3 linked regions of the Callithrix jacchus genome follow. The protein of the gene in region 1 purifies or fractionates together with the protein of each later gene. This does not show direct contact. Links are inferred from orthologs where the notes say so. Each region holds a gene or a part of one and is shown in the gene's direction. Other genes may lie near its edges. The genes, in order: GET3, UBL4A and BAG6.

What was found.
Region 2: the proteins of GET3 (region 1) and UBL4A purify together in Homo sapiens (affinity purification with mass spectrometry; 4 studies listed by BioGRID and IntAct, with this or other methods). This does not show direct contact. The link is inferred for Callithrix jacchus from reciprocal best matches to the Homo sapiens genes GET3 and UBL4A.
Region 3: the proteins of GET3 (region 1) and BAG6 purify together in Homo sapiens (co-immunoprecipitation; 5 studies listed by BioGRID and IntAct, with this or other methods). This does not show direct contact. The link is inferred for Callithrix jacchus from reciprocal best matches to the Homo sapiens genes GET3 and BAG6.

What each region holds. Positions count from the first base shown.
Region 1 is NC_133523.1:11,553,802-11,563,925, forward strand, and holds the start of GET3 (ATPase GET3), read left to right. Parts: upstream 1-5,283; 5' UTR 5,284-5,292; coding exon 5,293-5,453; intron 5,454-6,308; coding exon 6,309-6,456; intron 6,457-10,124. Other genes in the region: TRIR (telomerase RNA component interacting RNase), read right to left, coding at 1,572-1,916.
Region 2 is NC_133524.1:150,277,746-150,288,186, reverse strand, and holds UBL4A (ubiquitin-like protein 4A), read left to right. Parts: upstream 1-5,250; 5' UTR 5,251-5,273; coding exon 5,274-5,321; intron 5,322-5,518; coding exon 5,519-5,624; intron 5,625-5,851; coding exon 5,852-6,060; intron 6,061-6,153; coding exon 6,154-6,264; 3' UTR 6,265-8,033; downstream 8,034-10,441. Other genes in the region: SLC10A3 (P3 protein), read left to right, coding at 1,855-1,970, 2,753-4,328. UniProt on the Homo sapiens protein: As part of a cytosolic protein quality control complex, the BAG6/BAT3 complex, maintains misfolded and hydrophobic patches-containing proteins in a soluble state and participates in their proper delivery to the endoplasmic reticulum or alternatively can promote their sorting to the proteasome where they undergo degradation.
Region 3 is NC_133505.1:39,149,855-39,160,101, reverse strand, and holds the start of BAG6 (large proline-rich protein BAG6), read left to right. Parts: upstream 1-5,109; 5' UTR 5,110-5,198; coding exon 5,199-5,230; intron 5,231-5,318; coding exon 5,319-5,439; intron 5,440-8,799; coding exon 8,800-8,917; intron 8,918-9,031; coding exon 9,032-9,228; intron 9,229-9,462; coding exon 9,463-9,516; intron 9,517-9,675; coding exon 9,676-9,750; intron 9,751-10,247. UniProt on the Homo sapiens protein: ATP-independent molecular chaperone preventing the aggregation of misfolded and hydrophobic patches-containing proteins.

The sequences.
Region 1 (10,124 bases):
CATCATGCCTGGCTAATTTCTGTATTTTCAGTAGAGACAGGGTTTCACCATGTTGGCCATGCTGGTCTCCAACCCCTGAGATCAGGTGATCCACCTGTCTTAGCCTCCCAAAGTGCTGGGATTACAGGCCTGCTATTTCACACCAATTTTTTTTTTTTTGAGATAGTCTCTTATTCTGTCATCCAGGCTAGAGTGCCTTGGTGCAATTATGGCTCACTGAAGCCTGTATCTCCTGGGCTCAAGCGATCCTCCTGCCTCGGCCTATGAGGTGCTAACAATGGAGCTGTTTCACTTTCGTTGGGGCTCCAAGCACGTGTAGCACCATGCCCAGCTAACTTTTTAATTTTTTTCTAGAGATGCATTTTTGCCATATTGTTCAGGCTGGTCTTGAACTCCTGGGCCCAAGCAATCCACCCATCTCGAACTCCCAAAATGTTGGGATTACAGGTATGAGCCACTGTACCCAATCCACACCCATTTTTAACAAATGAAGAAACTGAGGTTTGCAGAGGTTAGATCACTTGCCCAAAGTCACATGCTGGATCCAGAAATAGAGCCCCTAGTCTGTTACTCTCAAGTCAACACTTTTTCCTCCACACTCAGGGACTTGATCTTAACACCAGAGACATGGCAAGCTCAGAGCCAAAAATCAATATATGCCCTATTTATTTAGCCCAGAGTTTCTCAACCTGGCACTCATAACATTTTGAGCTGAATTATTCTTTGTTTGGGGGTGGGAGGGCGCTGCCCCACACAAGGTAGGAAGTTGAGCAGCATCCCTGGCCTCTACCCATAGATGTCACTAGCACCCCCTCCAGCAGTTCTGACAACCAAAAATGTCTCTAGACTTTGCCAAATGTGGGGGTGGAGGGAATTGCCCCAATTGAGAACCACTAGTTTAGCCCTTCCTGGAAGACAGGCTCTGCGCTAACCACTTTTCCAGGATCACCTCATAAAACCCTCACCACCACATCAAGAGATGCGACGATGTCTATTTTTGCAACTAGGGAAATGAGGGTAGGCAGCCCAGAGGCTCCAGGAAAGCAGCGCTCTTCTCTGCAAGCTCACCACTGCATACCCAGCACCTAGCACAATGCCTAGCACAAGGAAAATTGCCCAATAAATGGAGATTGGTGGAATGAGATTCAAGGAAGTCAAGCAATTGTCCTAGGTAAGTAATTGTCCTTACACGGTTAGCGGTCTCAGTCTAATGCATATTGCTCAGAGTCCAGACTTGAATTTGCCCCCTTTTCTCACAATCAGTGGTGGTCCCATGACCCGAGGTCCAGGTACCACTCAAGCAAGAAGGAATCCTGACATCCACGTTTCCTCATTCTCCACAGTGCTGAATCCAATACAACTCGGCTCCCACTCCCCACCAGCAGGCTCCTGGCGCCCCCACACCCGCTCCCAGCCCCCCTCTTGTCGGGAATCCAAGTTCCACATCCTCAGAGGGTGACCCCGACGCCCCCCCCCGAAAGTGAACCTCGGTCCCGATCCCCCTTCACGGGCCCCGACTCCCGCTTTCAGGACAGGCCCTGGCGCCCGCCCCCACCCCCACGGCTCCTTACGAAGCTAAGTGTGGGGCCCGGACCGCCCTTCCTCTTCGGATCCCCGGGGCCCGAGGCGGCGGCCGACTGGTCCGGTCGCTGAGGACCCGGGGGCGGCTCCTCCTGCCGCTGCCGCTGCTCCTCCTCCATCTTCCGCTTGAACAGCTCCAGGAAGCTGCCGTCGTTGGCGAACAAGTTCACGCCGCCCGACACCGGGCTCGAACCCGCGCCCGACACCTCCTCGTCGCCGCTCTCGGGCGACGTCCCCGATCCCGACTCAGCCCAACGGCTTCCACCACCGCCACCGCCCGCGGGGCCCGGCGCCTCCCGGCCTGGAGGCTCCGCCCGTCTCCCTCGGGCAGCCATTTTGTCGCCAGGTGCCGCGCAAAGCACTCCGGGAAAGCCGCTCCGGCCCCGCGCTTGGCGCCCGACTCTTCTCGTCCCGAACAATGCATGATGGGAAGAGGGGTCCGGCCCTCGAGAGTCCGCAGTTGAGGCGGGGAGGGGGCGGGGCGATGAGAGGACCGACCCAAAGAGGCGGGGCTGGGGGAGGGGCCCCGCCTCACGGGTTTTTTTGTTTCTTTGTTTTTTTTTTTTTTTGAGACGGAGTTTTCGCTCTTGCTGCCCAGGCTAGAGTGCAATGGCGCGATATCGGCTCACCGCAGCCTCCACCTCCCGGGTTCAAGCGATTCTCCTGCCTCAGCCTCCCGAGTAGCTGGGATTACAGGCACGCGCCACCACGCGGGCTACTTTTTGTACTCTTAGTAGAGACGGGGTTTCGCCATGTTGGCCAGGCTGGTCTCGAACGCCCGACCTCAGGTGATTCACCAGCCTCGGCCTCCCAAAGTGCTAGGATAGCCGTGAGCCACCACGCCCAGTGGCGGGAGGCCGAGGCAGGAGAATCGCTTGAATACTGGAGGTGAATGTTGCGGTGAGCCGAGATTGCACCATTGCATTCCAGCCTGGGCAACAAGAGCAAAACACCGTCTCAAAAAAAAAACAAAAGAAAAATAGAAAATTAGAGACGGGCGTCTGGCTATACTGCCCAAGCTAGGTCTCGAACTCCTGGCCTCAAGTGATCCTCCCGCCTTGCCCTCCCCTCCCTAAGTATTGGGATTACAGACATTAGCCATTCGGCCCAGTCTGGCGAGGTTTTGTTGTTTGTTTTTTGGAGACAGAGTCACACTCTCACCCAGGCTGGAGTGCAGAGGCGGGATGGTGGCTCACTGCAGCCTCGACCTCCCAGAGCTGAGGTGATCCTCCCACCTCACCCTCCCTAGTAGCTGAGAAAACAGGCATGCGCCACTATTCCTGGCCAATTTTTGTGTGTGGAGATGGGGTTTTGTCATGTTCCCCAGGCTGCTCTCGAACTCCTAGGCTCCAGCAATCCTCTCACCTCAGCCTCTCAAAATGCTAGGATTCCAGGCGTGAGCCACCGAGCCCTGCCTCGCGGGTTTTCAAAATTCAGCAGTACTCGAGCTGGTGTTCCCCAGACAGGGGCTCCCCTAGAATGAGACTGTTGTCTGAGACTGAGGCTGTAGCTTGCTCTCTGGAGTGTAGTTTTACTCGGGGCTAGGAGCAGATTCGCTTTGCAGGGTTAGAATCCCTGTCTGACACCAATAATAATCTCTGTGAGGGGAAGCACCTCATTTGGGGCTGTGTGCTCAGCTGACACCTAGGAACTTGAGTCCCCAACTAGGAATAGAGAGTATTTCTAGCCTGGGCCCCCCACGTAGAAATTGGGGTATCTCTGGGTTGGATACCCATCTCTGGGATAAAGCTTACATTTAATGAGGACATAGCTTGCTCTGTGGAGCTGAGGTCCCTGAGAATCAGCTTTTTTTTTTTGAAACGGAGTCTCACTCTTTCGCCCAGGCTGGAGTACCGTGGTGCCATCTCGGCTCACAGCAACCTCCGCCCCTCACCGGGTTCAAGCGATTCTACTGCCTAAGCCAACCGAGTAGCTGGGATTACAGGCTCGCACCACCAGGCCGGGCTAATTTATTTTTAGTACAGACGGTATTTCACCATGTTGGACAGGCTGGTCCAGAACTCTTGACCTCAGGTGATCCACCACCTCGGCCTCCCAAAGTGCTGGGATTACAGGCATGAGCCCCCGCGCCCGGCCGGATTCTACATACATGTTAACCAGTTTATTTTATGACCTGTAGTATTCAGATGAAGTCGGGGTTATCTCTAGGCCCTAGTCTCTGTCTAAAGTTAAGAGTATTGGCCGGGCGCGGTGGCTCATGCCTGTGAACCCAGCACTTTCGGAGGCCGAGGAGGGCAGATCACGAGGTGAGGAGATCCATCGTGGCCACGGTGAAACCCCGTCTCTACTAAAATACTAAAAATTAGCCGGGTGTGGTGACGCGCGCCCGTAGTCCCAGCTACTCAGGAGGCAGAGGCAGGGGAATCGCTTGAACCCGGGAGACGGAGGTTGCAGTGAGCCGACATCGCGCCACTGCACTCCAGTCTGGCGACAGAGCAAGACTCGGTCTCCAAAAAAAAAAAAAACAAAAAAAAAAAAAAAAAAAAAAAACACTCACTTTGGGAGGCCGATGCTGGTGGATCACGAGGTCAGGATATCGAGACCATCCTGGTCAACTTGGTGAAACCCCGTCTCTACTAAAAATACAAAAAATTAGCTGGGCATGGTGGCGCGTGCCAGCTTCTCAGGAGGCTGAGGCAGGAGAATTGCCTGAACCCAGGAGGCGGAGGTTGTGGTGAGCCGAGATCGCGCCATTGCACTCCAGCCTGGGTAACAAGAGCAAAACTCCGTCTAAAGAAAAAAAAAACCTTTAGAGATGCTTCTGTATTTACCCCTATTTGATAGATGAAGAACTTGAAGCGCAGAAAGGCTAAGTGACTTACCCAAGATCACACAGCGAAAAAAAAAAAAAGTATTATGGGGTGAGATCTTCATCAGGGGCCTGGAACCCAGCTTGTGTTCCTGCTCCAGGACAGAAGTTCGAACGTGAATTATGGTATACTGGAGTCTTCTCTTGAACAGGAGAAATGCAAGGAAGCTTTTAGGAATTAGGGTCCCTTCTGCGAAACTGAGCGCAATTGCAGGCATGGAGCCTGCTCAGCATGGGAGATGAGGGAGTAATGGTTAAGAATGCGGACTTGCACACTCTAAGCCACTATCAGCCCCAGGGATTCATCTCCAGCCGAGTCAACTCTTCTATGATTGGATTGTGGGAGGAACCAAGTGGCTAACAACCAATTGAATAACAGAAGGGGCGGAACCAAAGGGGAGGTTCGGATTCAACGTGAAGAATAGAGGGAAAATGATGGACATAAAATTGAACCTATGGAGTCAGGCCAAGGCGGACCTGGACTCTAACTTCTCCGAAAGGGCAAGGACTGGGTGTTTGGCTGGTTGCTAAGGAGAGGTTGGCGCTACCGGAACGTGAGAGTGATTGGTGAAAGTAAGAAAAGATCTAGCCAATGAAAAGAGCGCCGCAAGATTTATGGCCCAATCAGTGAAGAGGAGTACCCTGGACCGTACTGATGTGCTCATTTGGTAAGGGGAGTCCTTGGAGAAATACAGACCAGAGGTTAACAAAGTGAACCCTGGAAGCAAAGAATAGTGAAAACATAATTTATATTTCTCCTGAAAGGCAAGTCATGAGGAAATTAATTCATGCTTATAGCCTCGATGGGAATGTGCTAGAGGATTTCCCCTGTAGGTGCTTCGCATGGTGTGCTCCGCTTGATCACGTGAGCCAGTTCCAAAATGGCGGCAGGGGTGGCCGGGTGGGGGGTTGAGGCAGAGGAGTTCGAAGACGCGCCTGATGTGGAGCCGCTGGAGCCTACACTTAGCAACATCATCGAGCAGCGCAGCCTGAAGTGGATCTTCGTCGGGGGCAAGGGTGGAGTGGGCAAGACCACCTGCAGGTACGGAGCCTGCTGCGGGAGCCAGGAGCCGGGTAGGGTATGCCACTGGGCGTAGGGGAGGCCAAGTACCGGCTTTTCCACCACGAGCGGGGCAAGGCGGGTGGCGGGGGTCTTTGGTTTCACACTCTAGAAGTTACCTGGAGCAAATGGGAGATAACTCCTCAATGCAGGCCTAGCACCCTCTGAGTTGGACCATCACTGTTGGGGCTCAAGTGCTGAACCACAGTGAACTCAGTGCTCGAGGGACGGGGGAGCACTTAGATATCCCCATCATCTGGACCGTACCTGAGTGAAATCAAAGTTGTGGGTAGGGATTGGACCAAACAATCAATCCTAGTTCGGTGAACCTTGCTGTTTTACGCCCAAGGCGAGAGTGAGGGCGGAAAGGGAGGGAGAGGGCACATGATCAGAGTGTCCCAGGTAGCTGCAGGCAGGAAGTGTCCGTGGGGCAGATTATCCTGGACAAGTGGACTGAACCATCCTGTGCTTAGCAAGGAATGGAAGGGACCCCCCCCCCCTCCAGCTTATTAAGGAAGGTGGCACAGAGTCACGCTATGCTGGCTGGACAGCGGGGCCATACCACTGTGTGCCCAGCAAAGAAGAAGCGGGCACAAGGCCAGATGGACTCAGTCAGCTGAACCTTAACTCTCTAGTCCAGATTGAGGGTTCAGTAGATAAATCAGAGAGGGGTCCTTTTTAGGGATTGAGGCTTAATCCCACGGTAACCCATACTCTTCTCTCAAGGCCCCTGTTGATCCGGGTCACCTGCTTTAAGGAACCTGTCACTCCCCTTGCAGACCCAGGGAACAGAGCCCAACCCCTCATCCCCCATCTTTTGACTTTTCCGTTACCCAGCTGCAGCCTGGCAGTCCAGCTGTCCAAGGGACGTGAGAGTGTTCTGATCATCTCCACAGACCCAGCTCATAACATCTCAGATGCTTTTGACCAGAAGTTCTCAAAGGTGCCTACCAAGGTCAAAGGCTATGACAACCTCTTTGCTATGGTGAGTGGAGCAGGGCTTAGCTCCCACTTCTGGGAAAGACCCTTCCAGCCTTTCTTGTGCACACACATCAGCAGCCACCATGTCCTATCCATTCTGTATCCTGTATCTCTCCTGTTTCACCCCTTCCTCAACATACTCACAAGGGAACGAATGAGGAATTGCGGAGCAGGAAGGACACCAGAGTGCCTGAAGCTTAGAGAGCCAGGGTAGGGGAAGGAGAAGTTGGAAAGACCAATCAGAGCCACATGGTGTGGGACCTTACAGTGCACGGTAAGCAGTTGGGCGTTGACTCCAGGTTTAATGGGAAGTTGTTTGTTTTAAGCAGGGCAGTGTCATGGCCAAATTCATGTTTGAAAAGTACCCTCTGACAGCTAAGTGGAGATTCAGTTGTCAAGGAAAGTAATGAGGTTGGGGCTGTAACCAGTTGAGAGATGACAGCATCCTGGACTGTGGTGGGACAGAATGTTGGGGGAGAAGCAGTCAGATTTGGGAATTCATTTACTTATTTTTTTTAGACAGTCAAGACTCCTCTGTTGCCCAAGCTGGAGTGCAGTGGTGCAACCTCAGCTCATTGCAACCCCTGCCTCCCAGGTTCGAGCAATTCTTCTGCCTCAGCCTCCCCAGTAGCTGCCATTACAGGCATGTGCCACCATGCCCTGTTAATTTTGTATTTTTCATAGAGACAGGGTTTCACCGTGTTGGCCAGACTGGTCTCCAACTCCTGACCTCAAGTGATCTGACTGCCTTGGCTTCCCACAGTGCTGGGGTTGCAGGAATGAGCCGCATCGCACCAGGGACTTATTTAACAGAAGTAAATTAGTGAGATTACTTGGTCGGAATGGGTGAGAAAAATAAATGAACTAGTTACATGTTTTTATTTTCTGAGCAGCTAGGATGCGGAAAACTAGTAAAGGAGTAGGTTTAGAAGGGACAAGTCAAGAATGTCATTTAGTCCGCAGCGAATCTGAGGTGCCCACTGAAAATCCAAGTGGAAACATCATGACAGTAGCTTGTTTACGTGAGTCTGGAGCTCAGAGGAGATTGTTACTGATTTGGAAGTCACTGACCCAAAGGTAGCATTTAAAGCTGTGTGAAGGCTGGACCTGGTGGCTCACACCTGTAATCCCAGCACTTTGAGAGGCCAAGGTGGGCAGATCACTTGAGGTCAGGAGTTCAAGACCAGCCTGGCCAACGTGAAACCCTGTCTCTACTAAAAATACAACAAAATTAGGCAGGCCTGGTGATGCATGCCTGTAATCCCAGCTACTCGAAAGGCTGAGGCAGGAAAATCACTTGAACCTGGGAGGCAGAGGTTGCAGTGAGCCGAGATCGTGCTATTGCACTCCAGCCTAGGCAACAGAACGAGACTCTGTCTCAAAAATTAAAAAAAGACACAGAGTCTTTTGACATTAAAAAAAAGACACAGCCATGTTGCCCAGGGTGGTCTCGAATTCTTGGGCTGGAGAAGTAATCCTCCTGCCTCAGCCTCAAGTGTAAGGTACTGCATCCAGCCTCAGACAGCTTTTCTTTTCTTTTTTTTTTGAGATTGAGTCAGTGCACTGTAAGCAGTTGGGCATTGACTCCAGGTTTAATGGGAAGTTGTTTTAATCAGGGCAATGTCATAGCCTACCAAACTGCTGGGATTACAGGCGTGAGCCACCGCACCCAGCCTATTATTTATTAATTTTTTTTTTTGAGACAGACTCTTACTCTGTCGCCCAGGCTGGAGTACAGTGGCTGAGTCTCTATTCATTACAACCTCCACTTCCCGAGTTCAAGTGATTCTCCTGCTTCAGCCTCTCGAGTAGCTGTGATTACTACCACCATGCCTGACTCATTTTTGTATTTTTAGTAGAGATGGTGTTTTGCCACCTTGGTCAAACCGATCTCAAACTCCTGACCTCAAGTGATCCACCTGTTTGGCCTCCCAAAGTGCTGGGATTACAAATATAAGCCACTGTGCCTGGCCTGCAAAACCCTGTCATTACAAAACAATTTCAAAAAATTAGGTGAGTGTGGCCAGGTGCAGTGGCTCACGTCTGTAATCCCAGGCCACTGTGCCTGGCCATAAACACTTCTTAAGGTAGCAGGGGGAACCAGAATTATCCAGTTCATCAAGTGCCCATTGGAAATTTGTGTTCAGAAAAGGGGAGCAAGGGCCAGGCACAGTGGCTCACACCTGTAATCCCTTTGGGAGGCCAAGGCAGGTGGATCAAAAGGTCAGGAGATTAAGATCAGCCTGGCCAAGATGGTTAAACCCTGTCTCTACTAGAAATACAAAAATTAGGCTGGGTGTGGTGGATCACAAAGTCAGGAGTTTGAGAACTTGCCAACAGAGTGAAACCCTGTCTCTACTAAAATCACAAAAAATTAGCCAGGCATGGTGGCAGGCACCTGTAATCCCAACCACTCAGGAGGCTGAGGCAGGAGAATCACTTGAACCTGGGAGGTGGAGGTTAAGCCAAGATCGTGCCACTGCACTCCAGACAGGGCAACAGTGTCAGGCTTCGTCTCACAAAAGAAAAAAAAAAAACAGCCGGGCACGGTGGCGGGCGCCTGTAGTCCCAGCTACTTGGGAGGCTGAGGTAGGAAGATTGCTTGAGCCCAGGAGTTCTGGACTGTAGTGCGCTATGCTGACTGGGTGTCCACACTGTTTGGCATCAGTATGGTGACCTCTTGGGAGCGGGGGACCACCAGGTTGCCTAAGGAGGGGTGAACCAGCCCAGGTTGGAAATGGAGCAGGTCAAAACTCCTGTGCTGATCAGTAGTGGGATCGCGCCTGTGAACTGCACTCCAGCCTAGGCAACATAGCAAGACCCCATCTCTAAAAGAAGAAATACAAAAATTAGCCAGGCGTGGTGGGCACTTGTAATCCCAGTTACTCGGGAGGCTGAGACAGAGAATTGCTTGAACCCGGGAGGCAGAGGTTGTAGGGAGTCTACATTGTGCCACTGCACCCCAGCTGCACAACTGAGTGAGACTCCATCTCAAGAAAAAAAAACAAGGACGGAAAAAAAAAGTAAGATGGGAATAGTCTTTAAGAGAGTGTTCAGGCCCTCGAGTGCAGTGATGAAAGAGCTGGAAAGCCACACCTGTAATTTAGTGCTTGGGGAGACTGAGACAGGAGGATCACTTGAGGCCAGGAGTTCAAGGCCTCATTGCCAGCCTGGGCAACAAAGAGAGACCCTTTATGTACAAAATACAAACAAACAAAATTAGCTGGACGTGGTGGTATATGCCTGTAGTCCCAATTAGTTGGGAGGTTGAGGCAGGAGGATCACTTGAGCCTAGAAGTTTGAGGCTTCGATGAGCTATGAATGAGACACTATCTCTTTTTTTTTTGAGACAGAGTCTCACTCTGTCTCCCAGGCTGGAGTGCAGTAGTATGATCTCCGCTTACTGCAACCTCCACATCTCGGGTATAAGCGACTCTCCTGACTCAGCCTCCCAAGGAGCTGGGACTACAGGCGGGTGTCACCACACTCAGCTAATTTTTTTGTATATTTAGTAGAGACAGGGTTTCACTTGTTAGCCAGGATGGTCTCGATCTCCTGACCTTGTGATCCACTCACCTTGGCCTCCCAAAGTGCTGGGATTACAGGTGTGAGCCACCATGCTAGGCCTGAATTTTTTTTTTGTAGAGATGGGGTTTTACCATAGTGGCCAGG
Region 2 (10,441 bases), on another chromosome or scaffold:
CCAATCATCCACACATCAAACTCTTTTAAGAACTCTCAGCATGTCTATATTTGCTTATATCATGTGCACATACTAACTTGAACTTTGTAAAACACACACAAAGATAACCTTTTTCAGCTGGGCATGGTGACATGCCCCTATAGTCTCAGCTACTTGGGAGGCTGAGGCAGGAAGATCGCTTGAGCCCAGGGGTTCAAGGCTGCAGTGATTACCACTGCACTCACGCCTAAAATGAAATTTTCATTCTCATAAACATTTTTAAAAGTTTATTTATTTACAGACAGGGTCTGGCTCTGTCCGTAAATAAACAAACTTTTAAAACAAATTTAAATGTAAATAAATTTATTAAAATTGTACTATTTGGCTGGGAGCGGTAGCTCACGCCTGTAATCCCAGGCCAAGGCAAGTGGTTTGTTTGAGGTCAGGAGATCAAGACTAACTGGCCAACATGGTGAAACCCCATCGCTACTAAAAATACAGAAATTAGCCGGGCAGGGTAGTGCATGCCTGTAATACAGCTGCTTGGGAGGCTGAAGCAGGAGAATAGTGAAAGAGAGAAGGAAGGGAGGGAGGAGAAAGGAAAGAGCGCTCGCCAGGTGCAGTGGCTCGGGAGGCCAAGGCGGGCGGATCACGAGGTCAGGAGTTCGAGACCAACCTGGCCAACATGGTGAAAACCCGTCTTTACGAAAAATACACAAATTAGCAGGGTGTAGTGGCGCGCGGCTGTAATCCGAGCTACTTGGGAGGCTGAGGCAGGAGAATTGCTGGAACCCGGGAAACGGAGGTTGCGGTGAGCCGAGATCGCGCCACTGCACTCCAGCCTGGGTAACAGAGACTCCATCTAAGAAAAAAGAATAGAAATAGGCGCTGGGTTAATGCTTGAACGAAAGGAGAACTCCGCACAGAGCCTGGCGTCCTGGTCTGTCAAACTCAGCCCTGGAGCTCCAGGCCTGGGCACCCTTGAGCGGCAACGTGGTCAACGATCACAACAGGTTCAGATGCACTGCCAAGCGATTGGTCCAGGCAGCGCCGGGCACCAACCAGCTGCAGGAAGCTGCCAGCCCAGCTCTCCCGCTCCGGCGCCGGCGCGTCGCTCCCAGAAAGGTCACATCCGGTCGGAACCCAGAGAACCGCCGGAGTGGAGCGGGACGCGGAGGGAGGGCGGAATCCTGACGCGCGGGGCGGGGCCTCGGCGGGGCGGGGTAGGGAGGGGCCTCGACGGGGCGGGGCCCTGACGGGCCAAGCTCGCGGGCGTCTGCCAGCCGGGCCGGCGCTGCAGTTGAGCTGCGTGGTGGCTGTGGCAGGTGAGAGCCTCCGGAAGGGAGGTGGCCTCTGGCCCCGACCCCGCTCCGCTATCGCTCACTCGGGCGCCCGGCCGGGCCTGTCAGGGAAGGGCTGCCACCGCCGCCGCGCGTTCGCGAGGCCTGGCGCAGCCGCGGGACCCAGGAATGGCGTAACGGTCCTCCCCAGACCTCGAGACGGCCCGAGCTGGTCGCCGGCTGTGGGACGGCAGCGTGCCCTTCCCTTCCTCCCTCCCAGGTTCGCACCCAAGCTCTGCTAGCGACCCGTCCGACAACTTCCGGACTCCCAGGTAGGGAGGAGCCCGTGTCAGCGCTGCCAGTTACCCCGAACACATGGCCGACGTGCAAAGAGCATCCATCCGGGCCGGGACTCCCTCCCCTGCCTTGTGGGTGCATCTGCTCAAACTCTGTCGGCCCCTCAAGCAGAAATGGTGTGGGATCTGAGCCAAACCCCTCTTGCAGTGACTCAGAGCCGACAGCCCTTCTGGAGGGATGGGGCATGGGGTTGGATGGCCCCTAACCTTTCCCTCCTGAACTGGTTCATGCCACCGTGATGGCTGTAGTCCTGCTACCTTCATCTTTGCCCCTCTACTTTGCTTCTCCCACCCCACTGGTTTTCCTGTCTCCCTCTTCAGAGGTAAGACACGTGGCTGGACCAAGGCCTCCAGGGTAAGTGACCCGAACTTCAAGCCAGCAGAGGCCATATCATCCTGAAGTAGGGATAGGGGAGGCTCCCAGGGATGAACTTGTGACTTAACCTAATCTCTGCTCCCTACTTCACCTCACCCCAGGCTCAGATGACAGGAGGCCAGGGCTGAAGACTGATAGGATCTACAGAGGACTGGGACAAAACAGTGCATGAAGCAACTGACAGCAGTGATGTTAAGCTGCTGTGGCCCCTTCCTGGTTGCCCCAATTCTAGCAGGCGATGTGACACTATGGTGGACACTCCACATTGAGAACTGGAGGGAGGTGCTGCTGGCCCCTAGAAACACTCACAGCTCCACTGAGAGTTTGAGGCTCTGGTAGGGTGCACCTGAGCACGGGGAGGAGCCCTGGACTCAGCACAGCCTCTCAGATGTAACACAGCAGCTCTGAGAGCTCAAATTCTGGGACCAGTGGGAGCACTGACAAAAGGAAGATAAACCCCCCAGTAGACATGTGGCTCTGACCCACTCCTGCTGCCCCTTCTGGCAACTTCCCTGGGGAGGGAGGACCTGTCCCCAGCAGAACCCTCACCGAGGCACTGTAGTAGCAGGTAGAGTAGGCCAGGAAGCCACAGCCGAATGGTACTCAGGGGCCAACACCAGGCATTGCCTCTCCATTCCTGAGCATGGGGCAAGGGTCCCTGCTGAGTTTTACTCTTACCATGGGCTTCCAGATCCCCATGCTCCTGGGTTCTTGACTGCACACCCTCACCAGCCACCTCTCTGTGTCCCTTACCTCCTCAGGGAGAGCCCTGCCATCAAGGAAGGCAGCACAGGACCAGGACCCACCCATGAACCCTTCTCAGGACAACCTGATAGCACCAGTGGGGATGCTCTCCTAAGCCACAGAGGGCCTGGGCGCGACATCCGTCCTCCAGGAGGAGCCATGGTGTCAATGCAGGGCAGGGACAGCTCTCAGCAGTGGCCTGGTCGGGGAGGCAGAGGTGGTGGCACAGGTCCCGTAGACATGCTCAGAGCTGCCCTGCTGCTCATCAGCCTACCATGGGGGGCCCAAGGGACAGCCAGCACCAGCCTCAGCACCGCTGTGGGCCACACTGTGCCATTGACTGGGGGCCGCTACTTGAGCATTGGAGATGGTTCTGTGATGGAGTTTGAATTTCCTGAGGAGAGTGAGGGCATCATCGTGATCTCCAGCCAGTACCCAGGCCAGGCCAACGGGACAGGACCCAGCCCCACGCTGAGGGTCACATCCCTGGACACAGAGGTGCTGACCATCAAGAACGTGAGTGCCATAACCTGGGGAGGTGGGGGCGGCTTCGTGGTGAGCATCCACTCCGGCATGGCTGGGCTGGCCCCACTCCACATCCAGCTCATGGGCGCCCATGAGGCACTGCCCACAGTGATTGAGGAACGGAGAGATTTCTGCATCAAGGTCTCACCTGCTGAAGACACCCCTGCCGCCCTCAGCGCCCACCTGGCCCACTTCTCGGAAAACCCAATACTCTACCTGCTCCTGCCTCTTATCTTTGTCAATAAGTGTTCGTTTGGGTGCAAAGTGGAACTTGAGGTTCTGAAGGGGCTCCTGCAGAGCCCCCAGCCCATGCTGCTGGGCCTCCTGGGCCAGTTTCTGGTCATGCCCTTATACGCTTTCCTCATGGCCAAGGTCTTCATGCTGCCCAAGGCCCTCGCTCTGGGCCTCATCATCACCTGCTCGTCGCCTGGCGGCGGGGGGAGCTACCTCTTCAGCCTCCTTCTTGGAGGGGATGTCACACTGGCCATCTCCATGACGTTCATCTCCACGGTGGCTGCCACTGGTTTCTTGCCACTGTCTTCAGCCATCTACAGCCGCCTGCTCAGTGTCCATGAAACACTCCACGTGCCCATATCCAAGATCCTGGGGACCCTGCTGTTCATTGCCATCCCCATAGCAGTGGGTGTGCTCATCAAATCCAAGCTCCCCAAGTTCTCCCAACTGCTGCTGCAGGTCATCAAGCCCTTCAGTTTTGTGCTCCTCCTGGGCGGCCTCTTCCTGGCCTATCGCATGGGGGTCTTCATCCTGGCAGGCGTCAGGCTACCCATCGTGCTGGTGGGTATCACGGTGCCCCTGGTTGGCCTGTTGGTGGGCTACTGCTTGGCCACGTGTCTGAGGCTGCCAGTGGCCCAGCGGCGGACAGTCAGCATTGAGGTAGGGGTGCAGAACAGCCTGCTGGCCTTGGCCATGCTACAGCTATCCCTCCGCCGCCTTCAGGCTGACTATGCCTCCCAGGCCCCCTTCATTGTGGCACTGAGTGGCACCTCTGAGATGCTGGCCTTGGTCATCGGCCACTTCATCTACAGCAGCCTGTTCCCAGTTCCCTGAGGCCTCTGGGTCAAGCTTTCGTCAGTCCCAGCCTCCACACTCCACCTACTGTCCCCAGAGTTCTTGTGTACCAAAGGCCTTTAGTTCTCATGCACTATGCACTCAGAAAAATCCAGGCTTATTTTTTTTACTGATTTTTTTATTCTCCAGCTTTCAGTGCCAAGGAGGCCATGCTGAGTTAGGTAGGTGGGCACTGCCCCAAAAATATATTTCAATAAAAGACAGAAGCAAGCTTGGGTCCCTTCCAATCTTTGCCCTTTGGTGCCTGGGCTTGGGGGTAGAGTGTGCTGGGTAGGTGTGGACCAGGGTGGAGGACCAGCTTGGATGACACGGTGACCCATGCACAGGCTTTCTCTATCAGCCCTCCCCAGGAATGTCCCCATTCTGGGAGAGGTGGGAGGATGAGAGCAGAGGCCTGGCTCCCCTGCCCGCTCTCAAACTCGGTGGGGTGTTTTGCAGCCAGACCAGAAAGGAGGAGGCAGAAACCCAGCGGGCAGGGGGTGGGGGCGGGCCGTCTGTGGGTTTGCAGGGCCCGGCTCCGCCAGCTGTCAGGATATGTGGGGTGGTTCAGGCCATCCGCGGGGGCGAGCGTAACTCTTGGCCCTTCCTTCTCCATGCCCCAGCTCCTACATGACGCCAACCTGACCCGACGGGTTCTAGCTCCCAAATTCCCCGCACTGTGGCTTTGGGAAGGGTCCGCCGGCTAGGGCAGTCGCTGCGCGTTTGCGAGGCGGAACCCCAGGGGGACTCCTCCTCCCGGGGCGCAATTGGGGTGGGGGGCGTGAACGGGACAGGAGGGCGGGGCCGGGAAGCGCGGGCGGCGGGCGCGCCCCTCTTGCTGCTTCCGGCGGCAGCGGGTGGATCCGGCGCGCGACCGGGGCGGCGGCGCGCGGCGGGGGGTGGTTGGGGTGCGCGCCCGCCCGAGTGGACGCCGCCGCGGCCGCCATGCAGCTGACGGTGAAGGCGCTGCAGGGCCGCGACTGCAGCCTGCAGGTAGGGTCCCGGGGCCGGGCTGCCGGGCCCGTCAGTCGCCCGCCCCTAACAGGAGGACCGCCAGGGCCGAGGGCGGGCACGGGGCGGCCGGGCCGGGGGCTGGTAGCCGAGAGAGCCGCCCTCGGTAGCGGACGCGTGGGCTTCGTCGACCGAGGGCCGCGGGCTCAATCCCTGCCTCCCACCCTCGGCGCGGCCAGGTGCCGGAGGACGAGCTGGTGTCCACGCTGAAGCAGCTGGTCTCAGAGAAGCTGAACGTCCCCGTGCGCCAGCAGCGGCTGCTCTTCAAGGGCAAGGCCCTGGCAGGTACCCAGGGAGAGGAGACGCCCAGGGAGCCCCGCAGGAAGCGGGGCCAGGGTGCTCTGGCCGCCTCGGCAGCCGTGTGACGGGTCGGGGTGCCGGCGCCCAGCGCCACTTGACTCCAGGGTAGACGACCGCATGCTGCAAAGCTGAATCCCGCAGCCCGAAGCGGCCTCGTGTCCTGGGCCACCCCCACGGCGGCAGGGAGAAACTCATCGATCTGTCTTTGGCAGATGGGAAACGACTCTCGGATTATAGCATCGGGCCCAACTCCAAGCTCAACCTAGTGGTCAAACCCCTGGAGAAGGTGCTACTAGAAGAAGGCACTGGCCGGAGACTGGCCGACTCCCCACCCCCGCAGGTCTGGCAGCTGATCTCCAAAGTCTTGGCCCGTCACTTCAGCGCGGCAGATGCCAGCAGGGTCCTGGAACAGCTACAGAGGGTGAGAAGGGCAACCCTGGACATCCTTTCTAGGCCCAGCTGCTCCCAGCCCCCCACTGCCATCCCCTGAATCTTCCTGCCTTTCTCTCCCCAGGATTACGAGAGGTCCCTGAGCCGCCTGACACTGGACGACATCGAACGATTGGCTGGCCGTTTCCTGCATCCAGAAGTGACTGAGACGATGGAGAAGGGCTTCTCCAAATAGCATTCTCAGAGCATAGGGAGGTGCCCAACGCCAGGCCACGGCTGAACATCACACAACGTGTGTTCAGTTGCAGTTGGGCTCATAATAATAGCTGGCAGGTACCTGGCTCTGGCCAGGTGCTAGGCACCACTCACAGCTTGACCTGGGTTTGCTTCCACACCCTTGGAAGAGGAGAGCCAGCACAGCGGGGGCGACGCAGGGGAGGAGCCCCAGTTGGAGTCCAGCAGCTTCTGAAAGTGCCTTGATGTGACAAGGAGGAAGGGGCTGCTTGGAGAGCTGAGCTCACTTGTCATATTTAGCCCACTGAGAATATACACTCAAGCAACTCCTTCCCAAGCCTGAAAGGGGAAGCAGTTGTCACCTGACTTCTGGCGGGTCCAGCATTAACCCTCAGCTCACTGCTGCAGGAGGCCAAGTTGCAGCCAGCCCTGGATCCCCCAGCTGCTACAGCTAGTGAGCGTTCTACAAATGGAAAAGCAGGTTGGGGCCAGGGAGTGAGAAAGTCACCCCAGCTCTGTGATATGACTTTGGGCAAGTCTCAGTGCCACTTTGGTCCCCCGCCACAGACTCTATAGGGTGAGGGCCACTTCCTGATCTGAGTCAGTGTTCTCCGCCCTTACCCCAGCCCAGGGTGGGGAGTGTTAACAGTGCTCTTCTCCCTTCTGTTCAATAAACGAACTGAAGTCAAAAGCAAAGCATGGCCAAGTGTGACCCAGAGATGGGTGTCCTGGCCTTTGGTGACACAGCTCTTCTCTGGGGCACCCTGTCTGCTTGTCTCCTCCTCCAGGAAGCATTAGGGCTGATGGGTGACTCAGAAAGGCAGTGTCAGAGCTGGGACTGGTGTAGGCATTTATCCTCATCCCCAGCATTTGCCACCATGTGGAAGACGAATACATCCCAGCCATCTGTGTGCGGGGGCTTACTTCGTATGCTCCTTATTGCCTGAGAGGAAACCTTGGGGTGCCAAGGCAGGGGCAGAAGCATGGGCTGGGTTCCAGTTCCTCCTCCACCCTGCCCTGCGCATGGGCACTAGAGGACATTGAAGTGCCTGCTCCTTGGAGGAGGCCCCCAGGGGTGGTAGAGGCTGGAAGGAAGCCACAGGCAGGAAGACACCACTCCAGCCCCTCCACCCTTGCCAAGGGAGCAGCTCAGTGTGGTCAGGGCTGCACGTGCTGGAGACCCTCCTGCCTGGGCCTTGTGGGCCAAATATTGGGTCCCCAGGCTGGAAATATGGGCAGAGGCCGAATGAGTGAAGGCTCTGAAGAGCACACAAAAGCCCCTGGCCACCCACGAGAGCTGGAAAGCCATGTATGTGGCTTCAAAGCCATATGTGGAGGGACATGCTTGTGAGCATGTGTGGCCTGCAGCTCAGGTGATACATTTACCAGGGTTCTTGTTTGGTGCCAGGAAATTAATTTTGGAAAGTGAAATAACATTAAAGGTGAACGTGAAACTTCTACTTTTATCCAAAGGAGCTATATTAGCTAGGCTGCTTCTGGTATCCAATAATTGGTTTAAAAATAAAGGCAATTTGTTGAATCAGTACAGGAAATTTCTTGACTTAATGAAAGGAAAAGTCCAGTGGTGTTGGCATTGGCAGCAGGTGAGCAATTTCACCCAGTGTCTTCCTGCCTCCCTCTGCGTTCGTATCTGCTTCATCCCAGGCCATCACCTCCAAGGATGAAAAGATGGCTGCCTGCAGCTTGCATGGAATCCCTGCCTCACTGCCAGATGCCCCAGCAAATAAACACTCTTCTCATTGGTCACAACTGGACTGTGTGTCCAATCATTTTGGCCGCGGTAGAGGGTAATTCTCCATCAGGGCTGTCTCCCTGAGCTAGGCATGGGGCCACTTCCCTGGATGGGCTGTGCAAGGGACAGAAGGCTCTGGGGGAGGGCTGGATGAATGGATGTCCTCAATTGTGGCTGCAAATGGCAGCGGTCTACTACAGGGGCCATACATGTGTCAGAAAGATCAGGGTCACCTTGGAGGTAGTGGAGGAGAGGGCTGGAGGCATCAAAATCAGGGGAAGCATCAGGGAGGGCACGAGAGGGAGGAAACATTGCAGGGATGGGAGATGGGAAGTGGGGGGACTGCATGAAGATGGAGCAGCCACAGGCTCCAGCCCCCAAATGCTGAGATCCTTTAACAGGAGTCCGAATGTTTACTGCAGGTGCTGCACCCCTCTGAGCAAATCGTCTGCTCTGTGAGATGGCACTGAGTCATCCACTACCCTTTGCCCCTCAAGGAGGGGCCTCGGGACAGTTCCTGACCTCTGCAGCCATGGTGTGTGTCAGGAGATGGCAGCATAAGTGAAGGGCCCACGGCAGGAAGAGCAGCCTCAGAGGACAGCAGCATTTGCCTTGGGGTGGGGAGGCTCCCTAGAAATGGATTCGCTGTACCCACAGTTTGCTAGCACCTTGCAGGTATCCCATGTGGGCATCACCAGCTCTTAATAGATCTGCCGGGGCCTGGTACTCCCAGGAGTAGATGTGGCAGGCAGCTGTGGCCAGCCTTGAGCCTCCCAGCCCTGAAACGCCTTCAGGAGAGATGAGAGACACCTAGCAACTGCCTTGTCCTCCAGGACCCAGCTGGAGTGGCCTGTACACACCCCTGGGGCCCCACTGAATGACTGGCAGGCCACTCCTCACCATCTTACACCCTTGCTCTCCTGCTGTTTCCACTGCTTGCTCCTTCTCAGGCTCTCTTGCTGGTTCTTCACACACACCCCAACCTTCAATGTTGAGGTCCCAGGGCTCAGTCCCTGAACACCTCTTCCCTCTCTGTATCACTCCTTAGGGGAGCTCATCCTACTTAGTTTCTATTTCTGTGCTTCACTCCCACGTCTATGTCTCATCCCAGCCCTCTCTCCTGAGCTCCAGCCCGTGTCTCCCAGACAGCACCTGCTCATCACTGAGTGCCCACTGTGTCCCAAGTGCTGGCAACCCTGAGACTGGGAGACACAGTCCCTTCCCTCTTGACACTCATGTCCAGCACTGGCCAGCTCCTCAGCACACACATTTTCTCCATGCCCACCTGACTGAAGGGCAATCAGGCAAGAATATTTTTGGAAGCATACTCGCCCCCAGCCCCCACATCAGGAGGCAGGCAGGGTCAGGCTGCCCCAGTGTTGGGGACACTCAGTTTCATCACGTAACCCAGGTGGCAGCTGCCAGATCTCTCGCCTGTAAAGATGCAGTTTCCCTTCCTGATTCACAGGTAATTTGGGGTAATACTTGGAGACTTTGAGAATATCCTTTCATTTAATGGTTTTGCCATCCAGTGATAATCCTTGCCTGAATCAACTTTTTTTCTTTTTTTTTTTTGAGACAGAGTCTCACTCTGTCACCGAGGCTGGAGTGCAATGGTGTGGTCTCGGCTCACTGCGACATCCGCCTCCCTGGTTCAAGAAATTCTCCCACCTCAGCCTCCTGAGTAGCTGGGACTACAAGCGTGTGCTACCATACCCAGCTAATTTTTTTTGTAGTTTTAGTAAAGACAGGGTTTCACTATGTTAGCCAGACTGGTCTCAAACTCCTGACCTCAAGATCCACCCACCTCAGCCTCCCAAAGTGCGGGGATTACAGGCATGAGCCACCCTTCCCGGCCATCCTGAATCAATTATTAAGTTAATAACAATTATTACATTGATGGTTACAAAAATGGTAATTTTCTGATACTTTTTTCTATACCTATTACTTGCCATTTCTCTATAAAAACCTTTCCTTTTTCTCACTCTTTTTTTTTTAGACAGTGTCGCTCTGTCGCCAGGCGTCAGGCTGGAGTGAAGTGGTATGATCTTGGCTCACTGCAACCTCCGCCTCCTGGGTTCAAGCAATTCTCCTGCAGGCACGCGCCACCACGCCCAGCTAATTTTTGTATTTTTTAGTAGAGTTGGGGTTTCACCATGTTAGCCAGGATGGTCTCGAATTCCTGACCTGGTGATCAGGAGTTCTACCACATATATATATATATAATATATATAAATGTATATATATTATAAATTTTATATATAAATGTATAAATATATACATTTATATATATATTTATAAATTTATATATATTATATATTTTTTAACATAGTTTTGACTTTTGAACAATGTAAATATAGACGGCTGGGCATGGTGCCTCACACCTGTCACCCACCCTCTTTGGAAGGCTGAGGTGGGAGGCTTG
Region 3 (10,247 bases), on another chromosome or scaffold:
CACTGTATGGCGCTGAAGAGAAGTAGTTTGATTGGGCCTCTCATTCATTCACTTAGCAAACTGTTTTTGAGTTCCAGGTGTTTCCCAAGAACTGGCTAATCCCCAGGGACATAAGTCAGTATAGGAAAAACTGGCTGTGTAGACAAACCAGTGCAATACAACCCGATTAAGTGCTTTTGAGCAGCTATGATGCAGATGCTGGGGCACAGTGGATTGCTCTCTAGTTTATAATTGGAAAAATATGTATACCCTGGCAATGTTCACTGACACAAATATGTTCATTCACTCAACATTTATTACTACAAAGAGACTACATAATCTGTCTATTAAAGAGGATAGATGTTGGTGTCAGGCAGAACATGTCCAAACCCTAACTACAGGTGGGGCATGGTAGCTCATGCCTGTAATCTCAGCACTTTGAGAGGCCAAGGTGGGCTGATCACTTGAGCCTAGGAGTTCGAGACTAGCCTGGGCTACATTGCAAAACTCTGTCTCTACAAAAAATTAGCTGGATGTTGTGGCACACGCCTGTAGTCCCAGCTACTAGGGAAGCTGAGGTGAGATGATTGCTTGAGCCCAGGATGTGGAGGCTGTAGTGAGCCCTGATCATGCCATTGCACTCCAGCTTGGGCGACACAGTGAGACTCTGTCTCCAAACAAAAAACAAAAAACAAACAAACCAAAAAAACCCACCAACCCCTAACTACTATGTCTGTTTTTTCATCTGTAAAATTGGCAAATCTTCAATCTCATAGGATTAAATGAAATAATGCCCATAAAGCCCTTAGCAAAGACTGCGCATGGTAAGTCCAAAGTATGTATTTGCTACAATTAATAGTAATGTTTGCTAAGCACTTTAGTTTCTGGTGGGTAGTAAGTTCTCAAATAATAGATGGTAAGAATTGCCAAACAGGCTGTCATTCGACAGCACCAAGTGACTGGAACAGCTAATGCTCTGAGATGTGGGGCTTCCTTGATAATTATGTATTTATTTATTTATTTGAGACAGAGTCTCGATCTGTTGCCCAGGCTGGAGTGCAGTGGCGCAATCTTGGCTCACCGCAACCTCCACCTCCTGGGTTCGAGCAGTTCTCTGCCTCAGCCTCCTGAGTACCTGGCATTACTGGCACCTGCCACCATGCCAGGCTTTTTTGTATTTTTAGTAGAGATGAGGTTTCATCATGTTGGCCAGACTGGTCTCAAACTCCTGACCTCATGATCTGCCTGCCTCAACTTCCCAAAGTGCTGGGATTATAGGTGTAAGCCACTGCACCCAGCCTACTTATTTTTTTAGCCAGTCAAATTTAGCAGTTGGGGGTGGGGGCTGTACACCAACTTTAGTGACACTGGTAATAAGTTCTGATACCCACTACCATCGGACCAGCCCTACTTCTTTATTTTTTTGACGTGGAGTTTCACTCTTATTACCCAGGCTGGAGTGCAATGGTGCGATCTCGGCTCACCGCAACCTCTGCCTCCCGGGTTCAAGCAATTCTCCTACCTCAGCCTCCCGAATAGCTGGGACTACGGGTTGCGCCACCATGCCCAGCCAAGTTTTGTATTTTTAGTAGAGATGGGGGTTTCACCATGTTGACCAAGATGGTCTCAATCTCTTGACCTAGTGATCCACCCACCTCGGCCTCCCAAAGTGCTGGGATTATAGACGTGAGCCACCGTGCCAGGCCCTACTTATTTATTTTTAAGACAGTGTCTCACTCTGTTGCCCAGGTATGATTACCGCTCACTACGACCTTGACTTCCCAGGTTCAGATGATTCTGGAGTAGGAACTATGGGCACACACCATCACATCTGTCTAATTTTTTGTAGAGACAAGGTTTCACCATATTGTACAGGCTGGTATTAAACTTCTGAGCTCAAGCAATCAGCCCACCTCAGCCTCCTAAAGTTGGGATTACAGGCATGAGCCACCATGCCTAGCTTGATAGATTATTTATATCCCATGGGCTGCCACAAAAAATTTGCCCTAAGGGATGAGGCTTGTGTTTTTGTTAAAAACAAAATTTGGAAAAAAAATTTTTTTGGGTGACCAGTATATTACAGTTCATCATACTATTTTATTTTGGTGTAATGTTTGAAAAAAAAATTTTTTTTTTTGAGACGGAGTTTCACCCAGACTGGAGTGCCCAGACTGGAGTGCAACGGCACGATCTCGGCTCACTGAAACCTCCGCCTCCTGGGTTCAAGCAATTCTCCTGACTCAGCTTCCTGAATAGCTGGGACTCCAGGCGCACACCACCATGCCGAGCTAATGTTTGTATTTTTAGTAGAGACGGGGTTTCACCTTGTTGACCAGGATGGTCTCGATCTCTTGACCTCGTGATCCACCCGCCTCGGCCTCCCAAAGTGCTGGAATTATAGGTGTGAGCCACTGCGCCCCACCTATGTTTGAAAATTTTTATAATAAAAAGCTAAAATGTGGCTAGGCACGGCAGTTCATACCTATAATCCCAGCACTGTGGGAAGTCAAGGTGGGAGAATTGCTTGAGGCCAAGCGTTCAAGACCAGGCTGGGCAACACAGCGAGATTCTATCTCCAGAAAAATAAAATTAGCAGGGTGTGGTGGCATGCATCTGTGGTCTCTACTAGTTGGGAGACTGAAGTGGGAGGATTGGTTGGGCTCGGGAGGCAGAGGCTGCAGTGAGCTGTGATTGTGCCACTGTACTCCAGTCTGGGAGACAAAGCCAGACCCTCTCTAAAAAAATAAAATAGGCTGGATGTGGTGGCTGACGCCTGTAATTCCAGCACTTTGGGAGGCCAAGGCGGGCAGATCATGAAGTCAGGAGATCAAGACCATCCTGGTCAACATGGTGAAACCGTCTCTACTAAAAATACAAATATTAGCTGGGCGTGGTGGCAGGCGCCTATAGTCACAGTTACTCGGGAGGCTGAGGCAGGAGAATAGCTTGAAACTAGGAGGCGGAGGCTGCAGTGAGCCAAGACCGCAACTAGGAGGCGGAGGCTGCAGTGAGCCAAGACCACGCCACTGCACTTCAGCCTGGGCGACACAGCAAGACTGTCTCCAAAAAAAAAAAAAAAAAAAAAAAATGTGTGTACATAATAAATAAAATGTAGGCCAGGTGCGGTGGCTCAAGCCTGTAATCCCAGCACTTTGGGAGGCCAAGGCGGGTGGATCACGAGGTCAAGAGATTGAGACCATCCTGGTCAACATGGTGAAACCCCGTCTCTACTAAAAATAAAAAAAAAAAAAAAAAAAAAAAAAAAAAAATTTAGCTGGGCATGGTAGCGCATGCCTGTAATCCCAGCTACTCGGGAGGCTGAGACAGAATTGCCTGAACCCAGGAGGCGGAGGTTGCGGTGAGCCGAGATTGCGCCATTTCACTCCAGCCTGGACAAGAGCTAAACTCTGTCTCAAAAAAAAAAAAAAAAAAAGAAGCTAAAATACAACAACAATTCTTTATTGGGGCAGTAAAGTACAAGTGCTCGATCTGGACTCCTGTAGGCCTAGATTTGTCAGTTCTCCCACTTAGTTCGTCTAAGTGTACTCACCTATAAAATGTTAAAACGCTTATGTTAAAAGGCTGGTTAAGATAAGACAATACACAAAACCCTTAGTATGTGGGCTGGCAGAAGTGCTCATTAAAACAGCTGCTTATTAGAACTCTTAACTAAAATATAACCAGAACCTGGGTATAAACTATGAATCCCAGAAAGGCTGGGCACCCCAGCAACGATGTGCTTTCTGGAAGACTCGCAGTTTCGCGAGGCCGAGGCCCTTTTCTTAGGAAAGCTTAAAAGAAGAGGGCACGGAGAGGCGGTAATGCCTCCACCCCAGCCTTCGGAAGCACGTTGGCCGGCCTTTCAATTCCCCACCGTCAGGGTCTTGTCTTTTGGTCCACTCGGACTCCATTTGCTCCCAATTCTCAAACTCGGAGGCGCCTCATTTCTTGAAAAAAGTCCTGCGAGTTAGTAGCATGCTTAGTTTTCCTAAAACGTGTCATGTCCCCTTGGCCGCACACCGCCGACGAACGTGACACCCACAGCCCGCAAAACGCCCACCCGGCAGAACCGATATCTAGCCCAAACAACCAACCAAAACCCAAATACATCCTTGCCGCCCCCAAATGCCTACTGAAAGTAACTTCCGGTGGCGGAGAAAGAAGGGCGCAGCGAGGGCGATAGGGTCGGGAAGAGTTTTAGCTGGCTAGGACAGTGCCGCCTGAAATTCTCAGCCTGCCAAAATTTAAACATAGATTAATGTGGCATAATCCTCCATCTCCAAATCCAAGGTCCATGCGACCGTCCATAGCCCCTCTCGAAGCAGTGGTGGACTCCCATCTGGCGATTGTTTTTCAGGCATTTACAGTAGCCACCTCAATCTTCCAGCGCTCAAGAGCTCGCATAGGAGAAGCGAGAGCCGACAGAGGGGGGTGGAGCGGTGCTTCAGTGTGTACGCATACGTAGTGCAACGCACGCAGGCGTAGTACGGTCCCCTGGGCGACGGCGGCGGCGGCTCCTCGGGGTCCTCGGCTCCCTCCCACCTAGGCCGGCCCCGGCCCGACTCGCCCTCAGAAACTCACTGGGGCTGTGGACTTTCTCGTCGTGCCCCACAAAAGTAAAGCTTGGGGACCTGGGGGGAGCCGGAAGTATCGCCTTGAGATCCCCAAATACTATCGTGGAAACGGAAGTGGCCGTCGGTGGCAGGTTGGGGGAGACCGGAAGTGACGGTCCGTGGGGAAGTCGGGGGCGGAGCCGCGGGGTCGTTGGGTGTGTGTGTATGTGTGTGTGTGTGGTTGTGGTTGGCCGTAGGTTAGTTGTGCGGTTCTGCTGGAACACCGTGGGAAGGCAGTAGACGAGGGCAGTCAGCTAGCTCGTACGGCGCCCCGTGAGTGCCGTTTTGGGTCTAGTGAGTTAGGGTTCGACGGGCGTGGCGCGCGTGCGCGAAACCACTTTCTCCGCAGTGTGTGGCGCGACCCCCGCTTTCGCCTTGTCCCAGGATTTTGTGACCTCTGGGGCGTTTGTCCCGTCGTGACCGGTGATGACACTGGTCTCTGGTCTCGTGCTTTTTTCCTAATCTGACTGGCTCCCCCCTTATTGTGATTGGCATCGTGGAGCCCCTCCCACCTCTTGTCCTCCAGCTCCTATGCCGTCGATCTCCTGCCCTTTGTGTTTCTCTCCCTGTGCCCCGGAATTACAAGGGTGATGGGGGCAAGTGTGAATGTGTGTGTTTGTACAGGAGAAACTTTTTAGGTATTGGGGCAGGGATTAATGCTAGGGAGGCTTCCGGGTACACGCTGCTCTGGGAGACAACGGGCCTTTCTTCTTCATTCTTCTTTAGAGAGCTGTCGGCCATGGAGCCTAATGATAGTACCAGTACGGCTGTGGAGGAGCCTGACAGTTTGGAGGTGCTGGTGAAGACCCTGGACTCTCAAACTCGGACCTTTATTGTGGGGTCCCAGGTGAGACACCTTAGAAGTTCTGGAAGACACATTTAGATTTTCCTCTTTTAAGCCTCTTAGCCTGATTTTGTGGTCATCAGATTTTCTTTATTCTTTCTTTCTTTTTTTTTTTTTGGAGTTGGAGTCTCCCTCTGTCCCCCAGGCGGGAGTGCAGTGGCGCCATCTAGGCTCACTGCAACCTCCGCCTCCCTGGTTCAAGTGATTCTTCTGCCTCAGTTTCCCAAGTAGCTGGGACTATAGGCACCTGCCATCAGCCAATTTTTGTATTTTTAGTAGAGACGGGTTTCACCATATTGGTCAAGCTGATGTGGAACTCCTGACCTTGTGATTGGCCTGCCTCACTCTCCCAAATTGCTGGGATTACAGGTGTGAGCCATGGCACCTGGCCCTTTTTTTTTTTAATTTTTATTTATTTATTTAAAGATGGGGTTTCACCATGATGGTCAGGCTGGTCTTGAACTCCTTACCTCAGGTGATCCACCCACCTCGGCCTCCCAGAGTGCTAGGATTACAGGTGTGAGCCACCATGCCCTGCCTTTTTTTTTTTTTTTTTTGACATGGAGTCTTGCTTTGTCTCCCAGGCTGGAGTGTAGTGGCGTGATCTCAGCTCACTGCATCCTCCACTTCCCAGGTTCAAGTGTTTCTTCTGCCTCTACCTCCCAAGTAGCTGGAATTACAGCCACTACACCTAGCTAATTTTTGTATTTTTAGTAGATATGGGGTTTCACCATGTTGGCCAGGCTGATCTCAAACTCCTGACCTCAGGTGATCTGCCCACCTAGGCCTCCCAAAGTTCTGGGATTATAGGCATGAGCCACCACACCTGATCTCAGATTTTCTTTTCATTGATTCCTTTGTTTGTATTCCAGTGGAACGTTTTCTGATGTTTTGTGAGTGAGGCTGATTTTGTTCTGTCCTCCACATGGATAGAACTTAATGCAGAGGGAAACAGAGTGAGGAAGAATCTGTGTGTCATCATCCACCCCAAAGGGACAGACATGGCTCTGGCCTTTGGGAAGGGAAACAGCGCAGGGACCCTAAGCAAGTGTATCTTATTGATAGAAAATGGTCAGGTCTGTGCTGTGTTTTTAAAGGATAGAAATCAGAACTCATAATGGAGATTGAGCCTTGATAGACTGTTGAGGGAAATTACTAATTTTTGTGGCATAGCTTGAGTCTTTTGAGCTTAAAGCCTTGGACACAGCTATCTATATCTTTATTCCTGTAATAGAGACGAATTGCATGTGAGTTGGTCCGTGGTTTTCTAAAACATGGTATTAGCTGGATATAAGAAAGCCATATATAGAGTTGTAATTAGATGCGTGTAAACACTTTATCAAGAGTAAGTCTCTAGTTAGGAAAAACGTTTTTGTTTTTATCGCTACTTTTTTTTTTTTTTTTAAGATGGAGTTTTGCTCTTGTTGCCCAGGCTGGAGGGCAGTGGTGTGATCTCAGCTCACTGCATCCTTCGCCTTTTGGGTTCAAGCCATTCTCTTGCCTCAGCTTCCCAAGTAGATGGGATTACAGACGCTTGCCACCACGCATGGCTAATTTTTTTTTTTTTTTTTTTTTTTTTGAGACAGTTTCGCTCTTGTTACCCAGGCTGGAGTGCAATGGCGCAATCTCGGCTCACCACAACCTCCGCCTCCTGGGTTCAGGCAATTCTCCTGCCTCAGCCTCCTGAGTAGGTGGGATTACAGGCACACGCCACTGTGCTCAGCTAATTTTTTGTAGTTTTTAGTAGAGATGGGGTTTCACCATGTTGACCAGGATGGTCTCGATCTCTTGACCTCGTGATCCACCTGCCTCGGCCTTCCAAAGTGCTGGGATTACAGGCTTGAGCCACCGCGCCCGGCCAGCTAATTTTTTTATTTTTAGTAGAGACAGAGTTTTATCATGTTGGCCAGGCTGGTGTCGAGCTCCTGACCTCAGGTGACGAACCTGCCTTGGCCTCCCCAAGTGCTGGAGTTACAGGTGTGATGCGCCAGGTCCTTTTTTGCTACTTTCTTAGTTTTTCTTCTTTTTTTTTTTTTTGTTTTTGTTTTTGTTTTTTGAGACGGAGTTTCGCTCTTGTTACCCAGGATAGAGTGCAATGGCGCGATCTCGGCTCACCACAACCTCCGCCTCCTGGGTTCAGGCAATTCTCCTGCCTCAGCCTCCTGAGTAGCTGGGATTACAGGCATGTGCCACCATGTCCAGCTACTTTTTGTATCTTTTTTTTTTTTTTTTTTTTTTTGAGACGGAGTTTCGCTCTTGTTACCCAGGCTGGAGTGCAATGGTGCGATCTTGGCTCACTGCAACCTCCGCCCCCTGGGTTCAGGCAATTCTCCTGCCTCAGCCTCCTGAGTAGCTGGGATTACAGGCATGCGCCACTGTGCCCGGCTAATTTTTTTGTAATTTTTAGTAGAGACGGGGTTTCACCATGTTGACCAGGATGGTCTCAATCTGTTGACCTCGTGATCCACCCGCCTCGGCCTTCCAAAGTGCTGGGATTACAGGCTTGAGCCACCGCGCCCGGCCAATTTTTTGTATCTTTAGTAGAGACGGGGTTTCACTAATTTGACCAGGAGAGTCTCGATCTCTTGACCTCGTGATCCACCCGCCTTGGCCTCCCAAAGTGCTGGGATTTCAGGCTTGAGCCATCGTGCCTGGCCAGTTTTTCTTCATTAACCTGATTCCAGACCCCATCTTCTTTGCCATTTTTTAATCTTGGGAATTATAGGAGAGTCTGATAAATAAACTCCTGGTATCATTTTGTGTTTGGAAAGGGGTCACTGATGTTTCAGACACACATTCCCGTGGGAGCCAGGCAGAGAATGTAATGTCCAGATGTTTTTTTTGTTTTGTTTCTCATCCATGTTATTTTTCATGGACCTATATATAACCTGAGCTTCATTAAATTTATTTATTTAATTTTTTGAGATGGAGTCTCACTCTGTTGCCTGGGCTGGAGTACAATGGCACAATCTCAGCAACCTCTGCCTCCCTGGTTAAAATGATTCTCTTGCCTCAGCCTCCCTAGTAGCTGGGATTACAGGTGCCCACTACCACACCTAGCTAATTATTTTTGTATTTTTAGTAGAGACAGGATTTCATCATGTTAGGCTGGTCTGGAACTCCTGACCTCAGGTGATCTGCCTGACCTTGGCTTCTCAAAGTGTTGGGAATACAGGTGTGAGCCACTGCACCCAGCCAAGTTTATTGTCTATATTTTGACAGCTGTTACTTCAGTTTAAGGGTTTGCACGGTGATTACCTCACAGTCAAGACAAATGGGTGGTGATTCTGTCAGTTGTCCGTCTCTGTTCTTCCTCTTTCCTCTATTCTTTCCATTCCTGTGCATACCTTCTCTTCCTTGCAGATGAATGTGAAAGAGTTTAAGGAGCACATTGCTGCCTCTGTCAGCATCCCATCTGAAAAACAACGGCTCATTTACCAGGGACGAGTTCTGCAAGATGATAAGAAGCTCCAGGAATATAGTAAGGCGACTGGGGAGGCAGTTGAGACGTTGAGACTGCTATCTGGAGTGTTGAGTTGAGGCCACGGGTTTACCTGTTCATACTATGTTTTGGTGTGTGTCTATTTTTCTGCAGATGTTGGGGGAAAGGTTATCCACCTGGTGGAACGGGCTCCTCCTCAGACTCAGCTCCCTTCTGGGGCATCTTCTGGGACGGGGTCTGCCTCAGCCACTCATGGTGGGGGACCCCCGCCTGGTACTCGGGGGCCTGGGGCCTCTGTTCATGACCGGAATGCCAACAGCTATGTCATGGTTGGAACCTTCAATCTTCCTGTAAGCTTATGTTCCACAGGGGAGGGTCTTTGTGGGTAGCTTTGGTTGTGGTAGCAGCAGGGTATTAATAAGATAGATGCTTCCATCTTTAGGTTGGGTTCAGGGGGCCCTGTGGTATGCTATTGGTGTCAGTGTTTAAGGAGAAAAGAGAGCGGGGCTCCAGGGAATGAATCGGAAGAGTGGAGGCCTTAGTATTGGCTTCTCCCAGAACAACTTCCCTTACCCTTTCCCCAGAGTGACGGCTCTGCTGTGGATGTTCACATCAACATGGAACAGGCCCCGATTCAGGTATTGAGGGGCCTTGGAGGGTCAGGGAAGGGGATCTGGGAGAAGGAGGCTGGGAGGTGGGGTAGACCTGGTTGAAAGATGGCTGGGACCTGATTTAGTAGGTGGTAGAATTCATGGCTTCATCTGTAACCTACCCTGATCACTCTTCTCTCATTGTAGAGTGAGCCCCGGGTACGGCTGGTGATGGCTCAGCACATGATCAGGGATATACAGACCTTACTATCCCGGATGGAGGTAAGTGGGCAAGGCTGGCTAGAGTCTCTCCCCACCTTCCCCCTTTTCTCTCAGCCTGGGGGTTGGGGCATAACTGGCCACATTCACAGGGTTTGGCCTTCGTAATCTAGACTTCTTTGCAGTATTCATTCTTTTGGACAGAAAAACGTATCTTTGTGAGCTGCTCTCATTTCTACCAGTCCTCTTGGTGCCTGGTGCCTGGTATCTGGGGAGTTTGTTTCAGATTTGTCTCATGGGATCTCTTTTTTTTTTTCAGACGGAGTTTCGCTGTTGTTACCCAGACTGGAGTGCAATGGCACGATCTTGGCTCACTGCAACCCCTGCCTCCTGGGTTCAAGCAATTCTCCTGCCTCAGCCTCCCGAGTAGCTGGGACTACAGGCGTGCACCACCATGCCCAGCTAATTTTTGTATTTTTAGTAGAGACGGGGTTTCACCTTGTTGACCAGGATGGTCTTGATCTCTTGACCTTGTGATCCACCCGCCTCGGCCTCCTAAA